4 linked regions of the Oryctolagus cuniculus genome follow. The protein of the gene in region 1 interacts with the protein of each later gene in a pairwise test. Links are inferred from orthologs where the notes say so. Each region holds a gene or a part of one and is shown on either strand. Other genes may lie near its edges.

Evidence for each region.
Region 2: the proteins of CERT1 (region 1) and ACTL8 interact in binary tests that used the Homo sapiens proteins (3 or more experiments, as listed by UniProt). The two-hybrid records come from large-scale screens. The link is inferred for Oryctolagus cuniculus from reciprocal best matches to the Homo sapiens genes CERT1 and ACTL8.
Region 3: the proteins of CERT1 (region 1) and RTN3 interact in binary tests that used the Homo sapiens proteins (3 or more experiments, as listed by UniProt). The link is inferred for Oryctolagus cuniculus from reciprocal best matches to the Homo sapiens genes CERT1 and RTN3.
Region 4: the proteins of CERT1 (region 1) and CSNK1G2 interact in binary tests that used the Homo sapiens proteins (3 or more experiments, as listed by UniProt). The two-hybrid records come from large-scale screens. The link is inferred for Oryctolagus cuniculus from reciprocal best matches to the Homo sapiens genes CERT1 and CSNK1G2.

The regions. Positions count from the first base shown.
Region 1 is NC_091445.1:574,425-579,720, forward strand, and holds the start of CERT1 (ceramide transfer protein), read right to left. Parts: upstream 3,637-5,296; 5' UTR 3,260-3,636; coding exon 3,164-3,259; intron 3,125-3,163; exon of another isoform or gene 2,769-3,124; intron 2,732-2,768; exon of another isoform or gene 2,595-2,731; intron 1-2,594. UniProt on the Homo sapiens protein: Shelters ceramides and diacylglycerol lipids inside its START domain and mediates the intracellular trafficking of ceramides and diacylglycerol lipids in a non-vesicular manner.
Region 2 is NC_091438.1:152,535,260-152,539,865, forward strand, and holds the end of ACTL8 (actin-like protein 8), read right to left. Parts: intron 3,228-4,606; 5' UTR 3,183-3,227; coding exon 2,835-3,182; intron 1,985-2,834; coding exon 1,232-1,984; 3' UTR 776-1,231; downstream 1-775.
Region 3 is NC_091432.1:7,442,078-7,446,683, forward strand, and holds part of RTN3 (reticulon-3), read right to left. Parts: intron 3,790-4,606; coding exon 3,582-3,789; intron 291-3,581; coding exon 152-290; intron 1-151. UniProt on the Homo sapiens protein: May be involved in membrane trafficking in the early secretory pathway. Inhibits BACE1 activity and amyloid precursor protein processing. May induce caspase-8 cascade and apoptosis.
Region 4 is NC_091447.1:58,971,388-58,976,779, forward strand, and holds the start of CSNK1G2 (casein kinase I), read left to right. Parts: upstream 1-1,777; 5' UTR 1,778-1,929; coding exon 1,930-2,116; intron 2,117-4,597; coding exon 4,598-4,638; intron 4,639-4,729; coding exon 4,730-5,077; intron 5,078-5,392. UniProt on the Homo sapiens protein: Serine/threonine-protein kinase. Casein kinases are operationally defined by their preferential utilization of acidic proteins such as caseins as substrates. It can phosphorylate a large number of proteins. Participates in Wnt signaling.

The sequences.
Region 1 (5,296 bases):
CACAGAGAGGACCACCATAAACTGGCAAAGGCAGCTATGTAACCTCTATGGACTATTTAATTCTGTGTGATTTTAATTACATCTGGGGTTTTATGTATAGACAATTTCAAAAATGAATGGAATGGATTGCTGAAATATACTGCACTGGCTCAGGCTCTTCATCTATGAGGAAACCTTTACTTTTCTACAACCCACTCCAGCATATTTGACATCAGTTCAGCTCTGACTTCTAAGCCTCACCATCAAACCCATTCTAAGAGCTCACTCATGCCAATGACTCAAGTCCTTCTTTTCTAGGGTCCCCTAATGACCACGTTCTTATTTCTACCTCACTGTGACTCCGCCACCTAGACGCTGACTTCAAACAAACAGTTCCCTTCCGTCAGTGTGTTTGCTCCCTAGGTTCCCGTTCCTTGGCTAGATCCTCACTTCTGCAGTCACGCAAACACAAGTCTGGCTCACAGCATCTTCCACGAACAGAGCAGTGGATACAGCATTGCACAGACTCAGCCACTTACATCTTCTGTGAGCAGAGGTTTGGCAAATTAACTTTCGTGAGCTTCCGTTTTTGAGTCTGTTGTCTGAACAACTGAATAAAATAATGAAAGTGCCCAGCACAGTCATGGAAGATAATGTTCCACTACTGCTTTTCTATCTCTATATCCCAACACCAAATTCTGATCTTCTTTCCTTCATATTCAACTCTCATATTTGCCTTCTCCTTTGAACTTTCAACTATTCCAATCAATGAACATGTTCCTAGACTGCCTGACCTCTAAGTACCTTTTCCGTATTCATAAGTTACATCATTTTATTTAATGACCAATCATATTTGCTTACTTCTCTTACATCTTAACCTTGATTCTCCAGCTCCAAAACATAAGTACCAAGTTCCCATTTCCTTCACACCAACCGTTCAGACTGGTGTTCAAGACCTTCCATGGATGAATTTCACTTTCCCATCAGCACCCTTCCAAAAGGCAAGTCACCGTGTGACATGGTCATGTTCCTTCCCCTGATGCGTGCTTATCTGAACAGGCTTAGAACAGTGCCCAGCACACAGTACAGTCTCAGTGCCTGGCAGCATTATGCCCAAGTCACCCTCACCTTCAGCTCTCACTACAACAGACTCTCTTCAAAGTGACAGGAGAGACTTCTGCAACTGTGTAGCCATCATTTCATATAATTTTCTTCTAGAGGACTCCACAAATCACATCAGCCTCAGGACTGCATCCAGCAAACATTGCTGTTACTACCACATCTGGAAGACAGGTTTTCGCCTTTTCTCTACCCTCATGCTTCCCCATTTAACCAACACAAAGCAGTGTGTTGCAAACTGCAGGAGAATCAGAGATTCCTATCACCAATAGCCCAGCAAGCACAAATTCAAGAGGAAAAACAAACAGTATTTTGACAAAGAATCAGAACCAAGTTACATATAAAATACTGTGAAAATTCAAAGAAAGGAAATCTGAAAGACTGACAAAGTGAGCAAAGGCTCCACGTAGTATCTGAGATGACAGAATCACTGTGGAGAAACTGAGGCCCAGGAGACCACCAGGCGCGGAACGTGCAGAAGCAGCTGAGATCTCGTTTATCTGAGCTTCAGCGGCCCAGGGCCTACTGAAGTGTGACTCTTTTCCCAATCATCATTCATCCTGTTACCTGTGATTACCATTCGGAATTATCACCTATCCAAGATTTCTGGAACTCTTAAATGAATCTGTAAGAAATACGCTGTATAGATATTTTCATGTATTCACGTCATCATATAGAAAAAAAAAACTCTTTGCACTAGTATATTTCTGATATCAATTTGCACACCCCATTCCAAATCCACTCCATTTGGGGGGATGAGGAATATAATGTATTGGGACTTTACATTATTCAACACAAGGAAAAGGGCAGATGCTGAGTTAACTCTTGTTTAAAATATCAGATAAATACAAAGGAATTAAACACATAATACATACGTAAAAACATGCACCTGATCAGTATACATAATCACTATAAAATGTCCTTGATTAAAAGCTTCCAGAAACACTACACGGAGCCATACTTAAATCTCAGCAAACTTCCCTTCACACAGCTCTTAACAAAAACACTAAAAGCTACATTCTGCGAGTCCACATACGCAGCAACAACCAGACCGGCAGTTACCTGCCGTCCACAGGAGCGGTCTGCGCATTTCCACGCCGAGGTCACGGCCCCCCATTTTCATATGTCCACTGTATTACTCCGCAGGAGTGCTGGTGACTTTTTCCACCAGCCACGGCACTCCACCTCTCTCCAAACAGGTCAAAAGGACAGTTTGTTTCACAGAATACTTAACCCTGCCACAGTACTGATATGGTAGTCTGCTGCTTATCTAAAGAGAAGTGATGCAACTACTGGAGACACTGAGAAGCGAAGAACTCACTTCGCAGACAGTCCCATCAGAAGTCTGCACCTTGCACACTGGGATTCACTCCAGACTCCCACACGACAAGACCATCTGACCACAGAGACCCCAGGGAGCGTCCCCGTACTGAACTCCGTCACCTGTCCACTGTGCTGTCACCACTCGCACACCAGCCTGCACACTGCTGCCAGCCTAGGCCCTTCCCCTCCAGCCTGCTAAAGGCGGTCACAAGGCCTAACGGGAAACACTTCCACCGACGACGTCCCAACGTCTCGCAGAGCCACGCGGGGCGATTCTGCACGTGACCCAGCATCAATCCACGACCAGCTGGTGAGGGGCCGGCTCTCCTCCGCTCAAGTCCACTGCCCAGCCGCTGCCACAGGTTCAACAGTCGCAGCGAGGGAAGTCGCAGCAGGCCGCGGGGCTGCGCGCACGGCGAACACGCGGAACGCGGAACCGCACACGCCGCGCGCGTCCCGAACGCCTTCCCCACCCACAACCCACGGCGAGCGGCTCCGACGGGGTCCCAGCCGCCGCGAACGTCCCGGCACCGTCACGTGCCCGTCCACGGGCTCTGCGCCGGGCGAGCACCCAAGTCCTCAGTCCTGGCTCACCGCGCGCCGGCCCGGAGGCGGGGTCCGACCCAGCCCAGGCCCGGCCCCGAGGCCGCGCGGGCAGCGCCGCCGGCCCACGGCGCGGAGGCGCCTCGCCCCCGGGCCGCAGGTGAGCCCGGGCGGGGCGCGGCCGCGCGCGCGCGCTCACCTTGCTCAGGACCCCGCAGCGCTCCACCGGCGGCCCGGACTCGGTCTCCGGGTCCTCCTCCGAGCCCGACGAGTTCCAGCTCTGGTTGTCCGACATGGAGGCGCGACGGCCGAGCGGGAGAGCGGCCCCGGCGGCCCGGCCTGCGCCGCAGCAGGCGCCCGGCGCCCGCGGACAGGGCTCTGGGGACGGCGAGGCGGCGGGCACACGCCCCGGCGCGGGGGGCGGCAGCAGCGGGGAAGCCCGCCCGCCGCGTCGCGGCCGCCGCGCCTGGCTCCGGGCGGAGCGGGGAAGGCGAACGAGCGGCGAGGGAAGCCCGCTCTTCCGCTTCTCGGCCGCCGCCGTGACCCTGCGCTGCGCCCGGCGCCGCCGCCCGGACCCGGCCGCTCGCTGCCACCTCGGACAGGGCGCGGGAGCGGCAGGGAGGACGAGCCCAGCCGCGGAGCGCGGGTCCCTCACGCCGCCGCCGCCGCCATCTTCCTGCCCAGCACTATTTACCCTCCCGCCCCTCCCCTGCCCCTCCCCGCCGGCTCCTCGGCTCCCGGCTCCCGCCCGCTCCCTCCCCGGCGTCTGACGCGCGGCGCCCAGGGCCCGGGTCCCCGCCGGCGACGCCGGGCCGGAAGTGCAGCGCGGGGGCGGGGCGGCGGCGCGCGGCGTTCTGGGCGGGGCGCGCGCGGCCTGCTGGGAGCTGTAGTCGGGGCGCGACGGCGGGTGAGTCGGCGGCGCGGGGACGCGGGGTCGGCGGGTGGGCGAGGCTGCGGTGAGGTGGCCGCGGCGGCGGGGACCCTCCGTGAGGACGCGGAGGGGCCGGCTGGTCGAGCGGGCGGGCTCCGGCGGCCGGGGCCGCGCCGGCCGTGGCGGGAGACTGGGTTTTGCTTTGAGGCGGTCGGGGAACGGGCGACGCCGCAGGGCTGTGCGTTGAGCCGCCTGTCCCCGGCGCCTGTTCGCCGTTTCCTGAGGGTCGCCGCTAGTCAGCGTCGTTATTAAGATGCGGAGCGCTCGCTGACTGCCGGGCTGGGCAGAGCCTCGGGGTCTGAGGGAGGAAGCGCGCGGCCCGGAACGACTGGTAGTGGCGAGAGGCGCGTGGGGACGCGCGGGACGGGCCGTGGGTCTTGCCCGGGCAGAGGCTGACAGCTGCGATGCTGTGGTGAAGTCGCGGTGGCGCGCGGAGGGCCTGCGAGAGGGGGCGTTTGGATCCCTCGGTCCTCGCGCTAACGCACGGGCCCGAGGCTGTCGTTCAAGAGCGAGAAAGGAGGACATTGACTTGGCGGTTGACGCCTCTTGGGTGGGTGGCGGAAAGTGCGCCTTCACCACGTTACGTTTCGCTCTGCCGTAGCCTGGAGATGGCCTGGTATGGCTAGACTTGCTATTTCTGGTTTTCTCAAGCGCTAGGTTTTTAAAATATCACTAAGTAAACGAATCATTGAGAGATTCACTTCATAATGCAGTTTAGACTCACAGGAGCGTACGTTTTAAATTGAACTTTCTGTGGTGTTTTATACCTTTTAAGGTTGTGTGTGGTTAGAACCACCAGCAGTTAGATCACTACGTTACCCACTTGGTAGGAAATTGCTTCATCGTATTTAGTATCAGTGTGAAAAAGTGCCTTTTTACAAAAAGGTTCTTAGTACATTTTTCCTTTGTAGTTAAACACTAAAGTGTTTTTAGGTACAGAAAGATTTTTGTGTAATGATTACAATCCCACATTAGAGGTTGGGGTTTACTTAATTACTGTCAATGGAAAGAAATTGTAGTACTGGGATATGTGAGCTTTCTTTGTTCATTTGGAGTGATAGCTGTTGAGTTTTCTTTCTCGCTTAGGGACTTCCCTGCCCAACCTCTGATAAATGCCACATATCTTCTCATTTTATTTAGTGTTTACTATTACAAGTTTTTGAGGAACTTCATTTTATTTTTAGAACATTGTGAAGAAATGGCATGTTTACGGTATTAACTATTTATGTTGTCTAGGTACTTTCAATATGTGAACTCATTCCTTAAAGATCATACACAGAGGGTAGGCATTTGGCCTAGCTGTTGGGACTTCCAAATCTCATGTCGGAGGACCTGGGTTTGTGTCCAGGTTCCGCTTCTGATTCCAGCTTCCTGATTATGTGCACCCTGGTGGGGGAGGGG
Region 2 (4,606 bases), on another chromosome or scaffold:
GCTGAAGGGTCCAACGGGGCCTGGGAAGCTGGGAGGGCAGCCTGGCGCCAGGAGTAACAACACGGGCTTTAGTACAGGCGGACCCGGGTTCAAATCCCTGCTCCACCCCCGTCCAGCTCCTCCACCCCTCTCCGGCTTCCCAGCCTCTGCCCGACCTTCTGCCTCCCGTGAGCCAACGGTGAAGGGTCCTGGGCACACGGAACTGAGCCAGGACCTCGTCACGTGGCCCCGTCTAGGAGCCAGGGCCTCACACTGGGCTGTGGGGGGCGGGGGGCAGGGCACAGGCCCTGGCGGCCCTGGTGGTCTCTGTCCCTGCCCACATGCAGACTTTTTTCCGGCCCCTCCTCCCTGGCCAATAGGGGGCCTGCACGGCATGGTTGACAGTCCCCGGGAGGATGGGCACAGGTTCTGTGCCGAGGCTGGGCCGTGTCACCAAGGGAACTGGAGCATCCACGGAGCCTGGCGTGCACGGGGGACCCTGGAGGCAACTGAGGGCCAGCCTAGCTGTGTGCTTACCATCGGTGTCCCTGCCACAGCCGGTCCTCTCGAAACCAGAAACCTCGCTGACCCTCTCACCGCCACGTCCCCAGTGCCCGGGACCTGACGCGGAGCGCTGGAGGAGCGACAGGACGCGCCAGTGGAGGGACCTGAGGCTGCCGGCCCGGATCTGCCCTGCTCCCGGACCCCCTCAGCCTGGCCCCCGCAGGCTCACACCAGCCCTGTGGCGCCCCCATCCCCGCCCCCCATCCATCACAGAAGCCAGCACGGGTTCCAAACCAGATGTTTATTTGTGTATATAAAACAAGGCCCCAGGCGGGAAAGGCACCCCTCAGAGAGGACCCGGACCACACAGCCTGAAAGACTAGAACACTCAACTCCCCCCCTCCCCTATCAAAGCTGATCAGTTACTATTCGCTCTCGGCCCACTTAAAACCTAACCAACCGAGCCCAGTGGGATGACCCCAGGAAGGCGCCGGCGAACACAGGGTGGCTTCTAGGCACGGGGGAGGCCGGCCGACGGCCACGCCCACCCCCATAACGGAGCAGCTGGACGAGGCTTTCCCTGCACGGGGTCCAGGGCTGGCGCCCCATCCTCCCTCGGCCTGGAGCCCACTCTGCCAACAAGATAAAAACTCAGAGTCAAGAAACATCCAAAGCCAGCTAACTCTAACCCCGCCCCACCCCTGCCCCCTGCCCACCTCGTCCCCAGGCCCCTGGAGAGGCCACCGGCTCACACCCGGGCCCCCTCGTCATACTCCTCCCTGGTCATCCACTCCGACTTGTACGTGGACAGGTGGGCCATGAGCGACGCCCCGAGCCAGACGCTGAAATTCCTGTTGCTGCCCACCCAGAGCGTGGCCTTGGCGGAGGCGAAGTGCTCGGCCGACAGCTCCTTCTGCAGGCGCTTGGTGAAGCCGGGGTACAGCGTGTTCCCGCCGCAGGCCATGACGTGCGAGATGAGCTGCTCGTGCGTGGAGGCCTCGCACGTCTTGATGGACTCCACCACCATCTCCGGCACGCTGGGCCCCGGCAGGTCGAACACCTGCGGGCTGAAGAACATCTCGGGCGCCAGGCGCTGCATAGGCGTCAGCTCGGCGGACGTGCCGTCGGGCAGCAGGTAGGTGTTGCTCTCGTCCGCGCCGCTCGGCAGGCTCTGGCAGAAGTCCAGCGCCTCGCCCAGGTTCTGCGGCACGTAGCACTTGCCCATCTGCGTGCCGGTCACCGTATCCAGCTGGAAGAGGTTGTGCGGGTCGGAGTGCTCCTTGAAGATGCTCTTGCGGAGGTAGGCAGCGAGGTCCTGGCCGGCGAACTCCAGGGTCTTGCAGCTGGAGGGGGAGGTGCGGCCCAGGTGGAAGGGCTGCACGCGGGTCAGGCCATAGCCGGAGTCCAGCACGGTGCCGGTGAGCAGCCCCGAGGCGTACAGCGACATCTCCATCTGGTTGGCCAGCAGCAGGGCCGGGACATCGAGCAGCTCAAACATGACCTGCAGCCCGGAGGCGGGGGACACTCAGTGGGTCGCCCCCAAACCCAGGGCCCCGCGCCCGCCCTGGAAGCTGACATCCTGGCGGGGCGGGGATGGGGACTCTTGGGCTGTCCCTCGGGACGCTGGGACGGGGGACGGGGTTCTGCGGCTCGGGTGTGGGAATGTGGGAGGGGCTCTGGGGATGACAAGGAGGCGGGAGTGCTTGGCAGGGGGAGCCTTATCCTCTTCAGCAGAACCTCTCCAAAGATCAAGACAAACTGAACTGCCAGCCCCGCCCCGCCCCACAGCCCCACCCCTGCCAGCCCCGCCCCACCCCGCCCTGCAGCCCTAACCCCACCCCTGCAGCCCCGCCCCGCCCCGCCCCGCAGCCCCAGGCCCACGCCTGCCAGCCCTGCCCCGCCCCGCCCCGCGGCCCCAGGCCCACGCCTGCCAGCCCCGCCCCGCCCCGCCCTGCAGCCCTAGCCCCACCCCTGCAGCCCCGCCCCGCCCCGCAGCCCCAGGCCCACCCCTGCCAGCCCCGCCCCGCCCCGCCCCGCCCCACAGCCCCAGGCCCACCCCTGCCAGCCCCGCCCCGCCCCGCCCTGCAGCCCTAGCCCCACCCCTGCAGCCCCGCCCCGCCCCGCCCCGCAGCCCCAGGCCCACCCCTGCCAGCCCCGCCCCACCCCGCCCCGCAGCCCCAGGCCCACCCCTGCCAGCCCCGCCCCACCCCGCCCCGCAGCCCCAGGCCCACCCCTGCCAGCCCCGCCCCGCCCCGCCCCGCGGCCCCACCCCTGCCAGCCCCGCCCCATCCCGCCCCGCAGCCCCAGGCCCACCCCTGCCAGCCCCGCCCCGCCCCGCCCCGCGGCCCCACCTCCAGCGTCTTGCGCCGGTCCGCGGGCTCCTGCAGCGGGGTCTCGGTGACGATGACGGGGGCGTCCTCGTGCTCCTGCCTGTGCCGCTCCAGGACGAAGGACCAGATGTGCTCGACGCCCTCCCAGTTGAGGACACGGCCGCGCTCGACGGGGTAGCTGAAGGTGTCGGGGTGGCACAGGTCGACGCCCAGGCTCACGCGCCGCCGGGCGTAGCTGGGGCCAGGGTTCTCCCGGCACGGGATGTAGTTCACCACGCTCGGGAGGATCATCTGGGGCTCGTTCCAGCCGGACAGGCCGGCCTTCAGAAAGGCAGAGCCGTGGTCGATGACGATGGTTTTCCCGGCCATGGCTCAGGCACGCGGGGTCTCAGGATGCTTGGCAAACGAGGGGACCTGTGGGGGAGAGGCTGCGGGTTACCTGCCGGCCTTCCGCCCCCGCGCCGGCCACCGGGCCTCTGGGAAGCTTGGCCGATTACCCTGCCACGCCGTTGCGAGCAGTGCCGGGCCTGCCACGCTCTCCCCGTGCCTAACTCATCCTAGGAATCCCGCGCTGCGGCCACCTGCCCACTGCACTCCTCCCACTGCCCCAGGGCAGAGGCCGCGGGGAAGGTCTCTCTAGAGACTCAGCGAGATCCAGGGCGCGGGAAGGGCCTGGCAGCTGCTGGCTGCCCGCTTAGACGGCACGGGAATGCGGGCGGCACCGCTGCGGGCCAGCGGCTAGCGACCAGCAGGCGGGGTGACGGCCGGAGCGGCCTTTGCCGGGCACAGACCCTCTCCCCACTCCGGGAGGGACATTTTGCATATGAGATCGAGCTGTGGGAAACTCATTTGTGCTGGCCAAAAATGGCCGGGCATCAGCAGGAACACAGGAACGCAGCCCGTCTCCCCCACAGCCTACAGGGCAGGGGCCATCCTTGCACCCATCTTACAGATGGGGAGATCGAGGCTCAAGGGTTAAATTACCTTCCCAGCCCTTATAACCAACAAGGGCAGGGCAGGGGCACACACTGAACAGCAGGCAGATGTCGCTTGGGGGTGGGGGTAGGGATTACACCTTCACTTATTTGAAAATCAAAGAGACAGATGGGGATCTTCCATCTGCCGGTTCACTCCCCAAATGACTGTAACAGCAGGGCTGGGCCAGGCCAACGCCAGGAGCCAGGAGCCAGGAGCCAGGAGCCAGGAGCTCCATCCGGGTCTCCCGCACGGGCGGCAGGGACTCATGCTAGAGTCATCAGCGCTGCCGCCCAGGGTGTACTGGCAGGAGCCAGGATCAGGAGCGGGGCAGGGATGGGACCCAGGCGGTCCAAGCACCCCAAACAGTACCATGCCTACAACTCCAGACGCCCACCCCAGGAATTAGGTTTTGAATATGAACTAAGCAGCTTATTTTTTTAAATATTATTTATTTGAAAGACAGTTATAGAGAGGCAGAGAAAGAGAGAGAAAGAGAGAGGTCTTCCATCTGCTGGCTCGCTCCCCAGATGGCCACAACAGCCAGAGTTACACCGATCTGAAGGTAGGAGCCAGGAGCTTCTTCTGGGTCTCCCACGTGAGTACAGGGGCCCAAGGACCTGGGCCATCTTCTACTGCTTTCCCAGGCCATAGCAGAGAGCTGGATCGAAAGTGGAGCAGCCAGCACTAAAACCGGCGCCCATATGGGATGCTGGCACTGCAGGTGGTGGCTTTACCTGCTACGCCACAGCACTGGCCCCAGCAGCTAATTTATCATATAAAGGAGACTCCAAGCACAATGCCTCCCCATGGTGGTG
Region 3 (4,606 bases), on another chromosome or scaffold:
ATGTCACGAAAAACTATAATCAAATGCATCTGTCATGCTTCTGTCTTGTTGACCTTTTATTATAGAGGGGTTGGCCATAACCCTGCATGGGGGGCAGGAAACCTACCGAGTTTTCTCAGCAATACCACCAGAACCTGCACATGTGACTGACCTTCAAGGAGTCAACCAGATCTTCCACCAGGAAGAGACGAATGATGAGTTTCAGAGCCCTGTTGATGTGCACCATGGCGGCATTCATGTAATTGTGGAAGGCTTCTGAGGACAGGGTGATGTCCACATCCAGGTAGGCTCTTCCCAAGGAAGAAACAACAGTCACACGTTTGACACGGAAAAAGATTTTCTGTCAGCACAGCAGCCCTAGGCAGTGCTTTCCAGACCTGAAGGGACATTTCTGGCTGCCGTGGGAAGGAAACGCTACTGTCGGTTAGGAGGAAAGGAGGGCGGACGTCTGCATGGGACAGGACAGGCACGACGGCAACCAGCTGCCCTGCACTCTGTGGCACAGCTGCCGCCTCAGGAAGGTGAACTGACTTACAGCTCAGAACCCAGAACACATACAGTCATTTTCTCCATATTTACAACACATCCTGAATTTTCTAAAAATATTTCTATGATAAAACTTACATTAAATTTTTTTAAAATAAAGTTTTTTACTGTTTTGGAAAATTACATCTTATTGGTGATTATACATGCAGGTACAAGTTTATGACTTATTCATTATATATTTTTGGTATTGTCATGTCCAAGTAATTGAATACTGACTGAAACACCTTACAAATGCTTTCTGTTATCACATCTTTCTGTTATAATTGACCTATTTATTTAAAATGTAGATAGATTACACTACTTATGAATTTAATTTCTATATGAACTTCATTTCATACAGTTCTATATGATAAGGAGGCAGAACAACATTTGTTGACAAACCAGGAGGGTGGAGATGTGGGGTCTGACAGGTTCTGAAAACCACACCAAACCCGAGGCCCCAGTTCTGTCCCAGAGGTCCCATGCGCTGCTGACCTGCCCATACACTCAGCGTGTACTGGGTGCCTGCTGCCTGGCAGAGACTGCTCGGTGCTGGGATGTCAAACAGGTGAAGACTGTTTTTGCCTTAAGAGGCTCACAGTCTTGTGGGGAAACAGAATAGTGACAGACATACTTCCCTTCCGATCAAGAGAATATTTACTACCAACCAAAGAGTTTTAAAAACCAGAGGTTGTAGTTACTACAACTGAGTAGACAAACGTGGTTAAGCCTCCAGTGTCATGCAAAAGCGGGGGGGAGGGGGGGATTAAGATACCTGCGCTTGCTGAAAAACACTATAATTTATTTGCTCATTCATTTGATAACTACTGATTTGTTAAAACTAATTGGCAATACATGTTCTTTCTTTCCTCCCAGAAACCTTTGATTTAAGGTATCCAAACTTCACGTCCAAACTTCACGCATTTCATAAATACAACTTCAGGAACACAGTGATTCTTCCCACCGTACCCACTCCCACCCTTCTCCCTCCTCCCTCTCCTGTTCCTATTCTTATTTTTTACTAAGATCCATTTTCAATTAACTTTATACACATAAGATCAACTATACACTAAGTAAAGAGTGCAACAAATTGTATGAAAAAATAAAACCTTGTTCCTGAACAGTCGAGGCAAGGGCTGTTCAAAGTCATCCCATCTTGCAGTGTCAATTTCACTTCTATAGATGACCTTTTAGGTGCTCTATTTTGCAATGTCACATATATGGTTTATGTTTATTTTCACCAAGAGAAAATACAAGGGCCAGAGCAGCAGCCAGAAACCTGTTCGGCTGTAGTCCTCAGAGGTCACAGGAGGGGTTCCTTCTCTGTGAAAAAGCCTTTTAAAAAACTGTCAACTGGACTGGTTGCTTTTTGTTGTGGAGTTTTTTAAGTTGCTGATGTATGCAGGATATTAATCTTTTGTTGGATAGGTGGTTCACAAATAAATGACCAACAAATATATGAAAAAATGATCAAAATCAGTAGCCATCAGACAAATGCAAATCAAAACCACAATGAGGTATCACCTCACCCCGGTCAGAATGGCTAAAATCCAGAAAGTAACAAATGCTGGCAAGGACACAAAGGGAAACACTTATTCACCATTGGTGGGAATGTAAATTAGGACAGCCACTGTGGAAAACAGTGTGGAGATTTCTTGAAAAACTAGGAACAGACTTGCCGTATGATCCAGGAATCCCACTCCTGTGTATATACCCAGAAGACTTGAACACAATGTATCAAGAGATACTTGAACTACAGTGTTTATAGCAGCACTGATCCCAATAGCTGAGATTTGGAACCAACAAGGCGTCCACCATCAGATGAATGGATAAGGAAAGTGTGGTTTATATACACAATGGAATACTATTCAGCCATAAAAAGACTGAAATTCTACCATTTGCAGCAAAATGGATGCAACTGGAGAACATTATGTTGAGTGATGTAAGCTGGACCCAGAAAGACAAATACTGCATGTTCTCCCCTATGTGTGGGAGCTAAAACTTAAAAACAAACAAACAAAAACAAAACAAAACAAAACAAAGAAATGTCTGTGTGATCCAGTATTGCTGCAAATATAGTTTTGTAAAACCCTGTTTTATACCTTTGTCAAACCAATGGTTAAGAATATTATACTACTATAGTTTTAATGATCTGTGATTACTTTAAAATTTACTGTATATGGGTGACATGGTCATTTTTCCATTCAATTATTATTTATAGCCATTATCTATGTTCCCACTAAACTAAGGTCTTTTTGTTTTTTACTTGTTAAATCTCTTATTTGGTGAAGTAATAAACCTTTTCACTGTAACATAAATTTAAAATGTTACCTCAAAAACTAAATTAAAAAAAGGATAAGAAGGAGAGAGGAAGGGAATATAATTATGTTCTTAGAGTTGTTATCTACAAATATTGTGTGTTAAAAAACAATTAAAAATTAAAATAAAAGCATTAAAAAAAACTCCATCAGCTGCTACTATAATGTAAACATTTTCTGTGGCCCAACATTCTGCAGAGGAAAAGCATGAAAAACACGTAATGTGAAAGTGAGAGCACACCCAGAGAAGCTAGAATCACGTCTTAGACGTGCGGGACCCGCCGACCTGCCTGTGGTATCAAGCAAAGTAAAGCGCTAAGGAGAAAATGAGGAGGAAGACCAGGAGTAACCAGCCTGGGTTCCGGTACCACTAAGAGCAAGGCCTCAACAGCAAGATTTCAAAGTCGCTTCAAGACTTACCTATCTGGGGCATCCCCACGTGCCTGGGACGCCATCTGAGTGCTGTCCCTGGCGCTCTGCTTTCCCTACCCTGCCCAGAAATGTCAAGTCCTTTTTGGACTCGACATGTGAGTCTCTAGTTTGTCAAAAAGTTCTTACTTCCTAATTCAGCTGCTTCTAAGAAGACCTCAAGGTCTCTAACTGGGGGTTCACACCCCTGCTCAGCTGTACTGGACCCAGTAATTCTTCATGTGTAGCTAGGTCAAGTTTTGGACCTAATCAGCCTCAGCAAACCCCTCTGCTACAACATGCAGTGTCACTCGAGATACTCCAACTCACTTGAACGGATGGCCTTCTTCTGACTTCTGCACAGCTTGGATGACAGACTTGTAGACCCTGAAGCTGATGGTGACAGACAGAAGAGCCAGGATGAGGTAAGAAACCACACTGATAACGCTGAAGGCTGCCAGGGAGAGCAGCATGATCAGCGTGGTGCCAAAGACAAAGCCAGTCTTCTTCACGTCTCGCCAGAAAATCAGATCGTGCACTGCCAAAGGAAAAAGGAAAGGAGGTTATAAGAACAGCTGCCAGCCACCAGGCCAGGACTGCTCCCCAGCTCCGGGAGCACCTGGGGCACAGATCCAGGCATATCTCACTTATCAAAGCTAAATTAAAATGCGCAAACTGGGATGTGGGCTACCCAGCTGGAGTTCCCAGCCCCTGGCCTCAGTCTGGCCTAGTCCTGGCTGTTGCAGGCAACTGGGAAGTGAAGGAAAACAGACCAGCCTCTATCAGCATCAGTTACAGCGAAACATCAGTTTCCGTGTTAGTCTGAGGAGAAGCCAGGAAGGATGATGGGTAGGAAATCATACAATTATCTAAACCATAATGCTTCTGAAAGTGAGGGCACTATTAACAATTACGTCAGGAAGTTGAATTTGCACTTCAGTCCATTAAAAGGACATGTCGGCACTAACAGCCCTACTGCGAGCTCCCTTACTTGGCCGAAGAAGGGCTTTGTAGCTAGAGACACAGGGGCTTGAGTTGTGGTATTTCTAACTACATCACTTTAACCTTCCCAAGCCTCCACATTCTTCTTCTTTTTTTTTTTTTTTGACAGGCAGAGTGGACAGTGAGAGAGAGAGACAGAAAGGTCTTCCTTTTTCCGTTGGTTCACCCTCCAATGGCCTCTGCAGCCGGCGCACTGCGCTGATCCAAAGCCAGGAGCCAGGTGCTTCTCCTGATCTCCTGCGGGTGTAGGGCCCAAGCACCTGGGCCATCCTCCACTGCACTCCCTGGCCACAGCAGAGAGCTGGTCTGGAAGAGGGACAACCGGGACAGAATCCGGCGCCCCGACCGGGACT
Region 4 (5,392 bases), on another chromosome or scaffold:
CTGGCCTGGGTGTGCGAGGCCTGGCCTGGGTGTGCGAGGCCCTGCCCTGGGTGTGCGAGGCCCTGGCCTGCGTGTGCGAGGCCTGGGCTGCGTGTGGAGGCCCTGCCTGGGTGTGCGAGGCCTGGGCTGCGTGTGGAGGCCCTGCCTGGGTGTGCGAGGTCTGCCCTGCGTGTGTGAGGGAGGTCTGCCCTGGGTGTGGAGGCCCTGTCCTGGGTGTGCGAGGTCTGGCCTGCGTGTGTGAGGGAGGTCTGCCCTGGGTGTGCGAGGTCTGGCCTGTGTGTGGAGGCCCTGCCCTGGGTGTGCGAGGCCCTGCCCTGGGTGTGGAGGCCCTGCCCTGGGTGTGCGAGGCCCTGCCCTGGGTGTGCGAGGCCTGGTCTGGGTGTGCACCTCTAGGCCGTGGCTGTAGGTGCTGGCTCTCGGGGATGGCCCCAGGCTGGCTGTCCGCACACTTGCTGAGTGTGGGACCCGGGCAGCGCCACCTGGGAGGTCTCCCAGATGGTGGGCAGGTGGGGGCTGGGCGTCCTCCGGAGAGGGAGGCACTGGGGGCCCAGCCCAGTCAGCCCTGCTGGGTACGGCCCCAGGACACGGCAGGGCCCGGGAGACGGGGAGGGCGGTGGCCGGCTGGACACATGGTGGAGGCTGGGGGGGGTTGTGGGGGGGGCGCGTTGGCCTGGGGCTGCTGCCTGCAGCTCGTCCCGCCTCCCGCAGACGCCGTGGGTGGACCCCAGGGCTGGGGGCAGCTGGGGGTGGAGTGGACGCTTTGCTGACCTGCACGTGGGGGCCCTGGCGTGTCTCCCCGCGCTGGGGCGGCTCCTCCGTCAGGCGAGGGGAGGCGGGACCCAGGAGTCTGCTGTCTGGGGGCCCTGGGCAGTGGGGCAGCTGGGTTGCCGCGGCCCCCGGCCGGCTCTGCTGGCCCAGCAGGGTGGGCCGAGTGGCCGTGGGGGTGGGGCCGTGGTAGACCCTGGCGGCTGGGGAAGCCCACGCAGACAGGTGCGCACTGGCGGATGGCGGATGGGGGCGCCTTCCCTGCCTCCCCCGGACCGGTCTCTGCTCAGTGCCACGCCCAGCGCTCCCGAAGCCCCAGCTGGGGGCCGGCTGGGGGGCGGAGCAGCTGGGGCCGGCTGGGGGGCGGGGGTCCTCGTCCTGCGGGGGTCCTCGTGCCGGGGAGGGGGGTCCTCGTCCCGGGGATCCTTCGCCTTCTCGCTGGCCAGGCTGGTGCCTCCCGGGCTGATTCTGACGGTGGGGACGGGGGCGGAGCAGGAGAGGCTGGATGGGGGGGCACGGCCCGAGGCGGGAGCAGGGGCGGGACGGCCGGGCGGGAGCAGGGGCGCGGCTCCCGGCGGCTCTGCACAGGGCCCGTGCGCACTGCTCTGCCAAAGGCCAGTGGTGGGTGCAGCCTGCGCCGGGCTTCCCACCTGTGGGGTTTCCCGGCCGAGGACACGGACAGTGGCCGGGTTCAGGAGGGGGGCCGAGGGTGGGGTCCCGGCCGTCCCAGGCCCTGCGCTGAGTGCCGGACCCCTCCCCTCTGGCTGTGCCCCACCGTCCCTCCTAGACTCGCCCGCTGCCCTCAGCCCCACGACCCCCAGTGGCTGCTGGGAAAACCGCCCGGCCAGGGCACCCCTGCGGCTCGGTGCCCGGCTGCCCCGCCCCTCCCCGGTCAGGTGGCCGCGGGCCCTGGGTTTACCCTGTGCCTGTCTCTCCGCAGCTGGGGGCCACGAGATCTGAGGTGCCGGGACCGCCAGCAGCATGTCTCCTGTGCCCGAGAGCCACCCTGAGACCACCGAGATGCGCGCCACGGCCGGGCCCGCGAGGGTGCGCGTGCCCGCCGGCGCGGGGCTGTGGTAGCCGCCGCGAGCCCGCGCCTCAGCCGTCCGCAGCCTTGGCGTTGGTGTGGCAGTCACCGTGGAGAGGCCAGGGTACCACAAACTTATGGATTTGGACAAGAAAGGAGGGAGAGGGGAGTTGGAAGAGGGCCGGAGGATGTCCAGGAGCGGCGGGGCCCGGAGCAGCCACAGCGCGCGCACCTCGGGGGCCAGCTCGGGGGTCCTGATGGTGGGCCCCAACTTCCGAGTCGGCAAGAAGATAGGCTGTGGCAACTTCGGGGAGCTTCGCCTAGGTGAGCCCCGCGCGGCGGCCGGCGGGGACCGGGGCGCGGGCGGGACTTGGAGTGCGCCCCGGGGGGCGGGGGGCGGGGGGCAGGGGCAGAGGCCTGCCCTGGTCAGCTCCGGCGGTGTCCGGTGTGAGTTCTGGCGCTCCCTGCCTCCCTCCCGCCTGCCCCACCTGAACAGGGCGTGCGGTTGAAGCCTGGTGGGCTGCCTGGCAGGTGCGGGTGAGCGGGCTGGCGTGGGCCTGGGGGAGCTCCCGGGGTGGCCGGCGTCCTGGCCAGGAGTGCGCGGCCCCGCGAGCAGGCTCTCAGCTCGGGCCGGCAGGTGTCCCGTGGGTGCCGGCGCTGCCCGCGGCCCCTCCCGAGCCCCTCCTGGCGCAGCGTCTCCCGTCCCCGTCCTCCACATTGTGCCCTTGGTTTCAGAGTGTGCGGGGTTTAGGCACGGTCTGCTTTTAATTAAAATTCCAGATGTTTGAGATGTATTTATTGAAAGGCAGAACGATAGAGAAAAATCTTCATCACTGGTCCCCTCCCCAAACGGACCGCGGCGGCCAGGACTGGGCCGGAGCCGGCACGCGGCGACGGCCGCCCCGCGGTGTGGCTTTAGGGTCATGGCTTCCTTCCGGTTCGCTCCCCGGGTGAGCCCAGCGGCCAGCCCGGGAGCCACCGCGTGGCCACCTGTCCAGGTGCGTGGGCTGCAGCTGGGCCCAGGCGATGCGCGCGTGCTGCCCCGGGGCCGCTGACCGCCCCCGGGACCCGCTCAGCCGCCGCGACGGGGCAGTCGCTGCACTCCAGGCCGTCTCGCACTCGGACGTTGGGCGGGGCTTCAGTTAAGGCTGCCTGTGTCCGTCTGTCCGTCCGTCTGTATGCATGTCTGTATGTATGCGTGTCTATGTATGTGTGCATGTCTGTGTGTCTGTATGTCTATATGTATGTCCGTCTGTATGTATGTATCTATGTATGTCTATGTGTGTCCGTCCGTCTGTACGCATGTCTGTCTGTATGCATGTCTATGTGTGCATGTTTCTGTATGTATGTCCGTCTCTGTCTGTCTGTCTGTCTCTATGTCTGTCTGTATGCGTCGGAAGGCAGCGAGGGAGAGAGGCTTAAGTCCTGAGCGAGTTTGAAGTGATGGCTCCTTCCAGTCCACACCCGGGGTCCCGGCTCGTTTACCTGGAGGGAGCTGGGAGCCCCGGGGCGGGGCTGGCTTGAGCCGGAGCAGGCTGGGAACACGCCAGCCTGAATTCTAGCTTTTTTGCACCAAAGTAAACTTCCCCTTTGACTCCGGCTTCCCTGGAGCCCCCCGCGCTCCCCGTCTCGCCGCGGGGTGGCTCCCGCACAGCCCCAGCGTGAACCCCGTGGCTCAGGGCGGTCTCCAGCCCCGCGGCCGGCTCCGGGGCTCTCAGCCCTCGCAGTGTCCCCACGAGGCCCCGCCGCCCCTCTCGCCCACGGGGCCTGCGTGAGGCCGGGAGCCCAGAGCCGAGCTCCTGCCGGGCTGCCCCGCGGAGACGGGCGACGCTGTGGCCAAATGCAGGACCGGCGGGCAGAGAGGCGCAGCCGGGTCACGGGGGGCGCGCCAGCCGCAGGCCGGGGTCGCTGGCAGCCGTCCATAGGGACGCGTCAACGCCTGGACAAGGCTTGGGGCGAGGCCGCGGCCCAGCACGCGCGGAGGCGCCCGGGCGTCCCGGCGGCCGCAGGTGCACTGCCCCAGGCTCACCGCCAGCCCTGTAGACCTTCGGGTCCCACCGCGCGCCCTGCGCATGCGCAGCCCCGGGGCAGCCGCGAAGGCCCAGGCGCTGGGGCCCCTGGCACCCACACGGGAGACCCGACGGGGCCCACACGGGACTTCGGCCTGGCCCAGCCCTGCCTGTCGCAGGCATTTGGGGAGCAAACCAGCGCTGGCAGCGCTCTGCCTCTCGGGGCACGCAGAGCCTGGGTGTCCCCGGGGCTGAGGTCCTGTGCGCGCGCCTTGTGCGGCCTGGAGCGGGAGGAAGCCGGGGCAGGCCCGCGGGGACGGTCACAGCCCGAGCCGAAGCCGGGCGAGCTGTGCGTGGCCCTGGAGAGCGGGGCCCCGCGGGCCAGCGCAGCCAGCACCTCTGGGACCGGAGCCCCGCGCCGTGCGCTGTGATGGGAGGTGGCCTCGGGGGGCCCACGGGAGCTGGGTCGGCGTCGCCATGGCGCGAAGCCGCGTGAAGACGCACAGGCTCTTACGCACCAGGGCTGGGCGGCCTGGGCCTCGGGGCGCCCGGGGCGGGCGGGGGGCGCGCCCTTGCCTCCCGCCTGTTGGGCAGGCACTGGAGCGAGGCTGCCCCGCCGAGGCTCTGCCCTGTCCCCGCCCGGCTGTGCTGGCCAAGCCGGGGCTGCGCCGGCCGGGGCAGGTGTGCACGGCTGTCCTGTCGGGCCTCCGACCCAGGGCGGGGTCGCTGGTGGCTCCCGCCGGTCCGCCTGGGGCCGGGCCGGGCCTGCCGCCCTGACCGCGCCTCTGTCCCGCAGGGAAGAATCTGTACACGAACGAGTACGTGGCCATCAAACTGGTGAGTGCGCCCCCCCCCCCCCCCCGTTCACTACAAGCGTCAGGCCTGGGCCCGGCCGCTGCCTCACGGCGCCCGCCCCGCCCCTCCCCAGGAGCCCATCAAGTCCCGGGCGCCGCAGCTGCACCTGGAGTACCGCTTCTACAAGCAGCTGAGCACGGCAGGTAGGCGGGCGGGGCGGGGCGGGCCGGGGGCGGGGCTGGGGGCGTGGCCGGGGGCGGGGCCGGGGGCTGGGGGCGTGGCCGGGCCGGGCCGGCCGCAGGCACCGCCCGCCACGCCGCGCTTGCCCGCAGAGGGTGTCCCGCAGGTGTACTACTTCGGCCCGTGCGGCAAGTACAACGCCATGGTGCTGGAGCTGCTGGGGCCCAGCCTGGAGGACCTGTTCGACCTGTGCGACCGCACCTTCACGCTCAAGACCGTGCTCATGATCGCCATCCAGCTGGTGCGGGGGGCGGGGCGGGGCGGGGCCTGCGCATGGCCCGGGGCTGGGGAGGGCGGGGCCATGGGGGCGGGGCCTGCGCTTGGCCCGGGGCTGGGGAGGGCGGGGCCATGGGGGCGGGGCCTGCGCTTGGCCCGGGGCTGGGGAGGGCGGGGCCGTGGGGGCGGGGCCGTGGGCTTGGCCCGGGGCTGGGGAGGGCGGGGCCATGGGGGCGGGGCCGTGGGCTTGGCCCGGGGCTGGGGAGGGCGGGGCCGCGGGCGGGGCGGGCCGTGGGGGCGCACGGGAGGGCGGGGCCGGGTCTGGGGAGGCCGGGTCCGT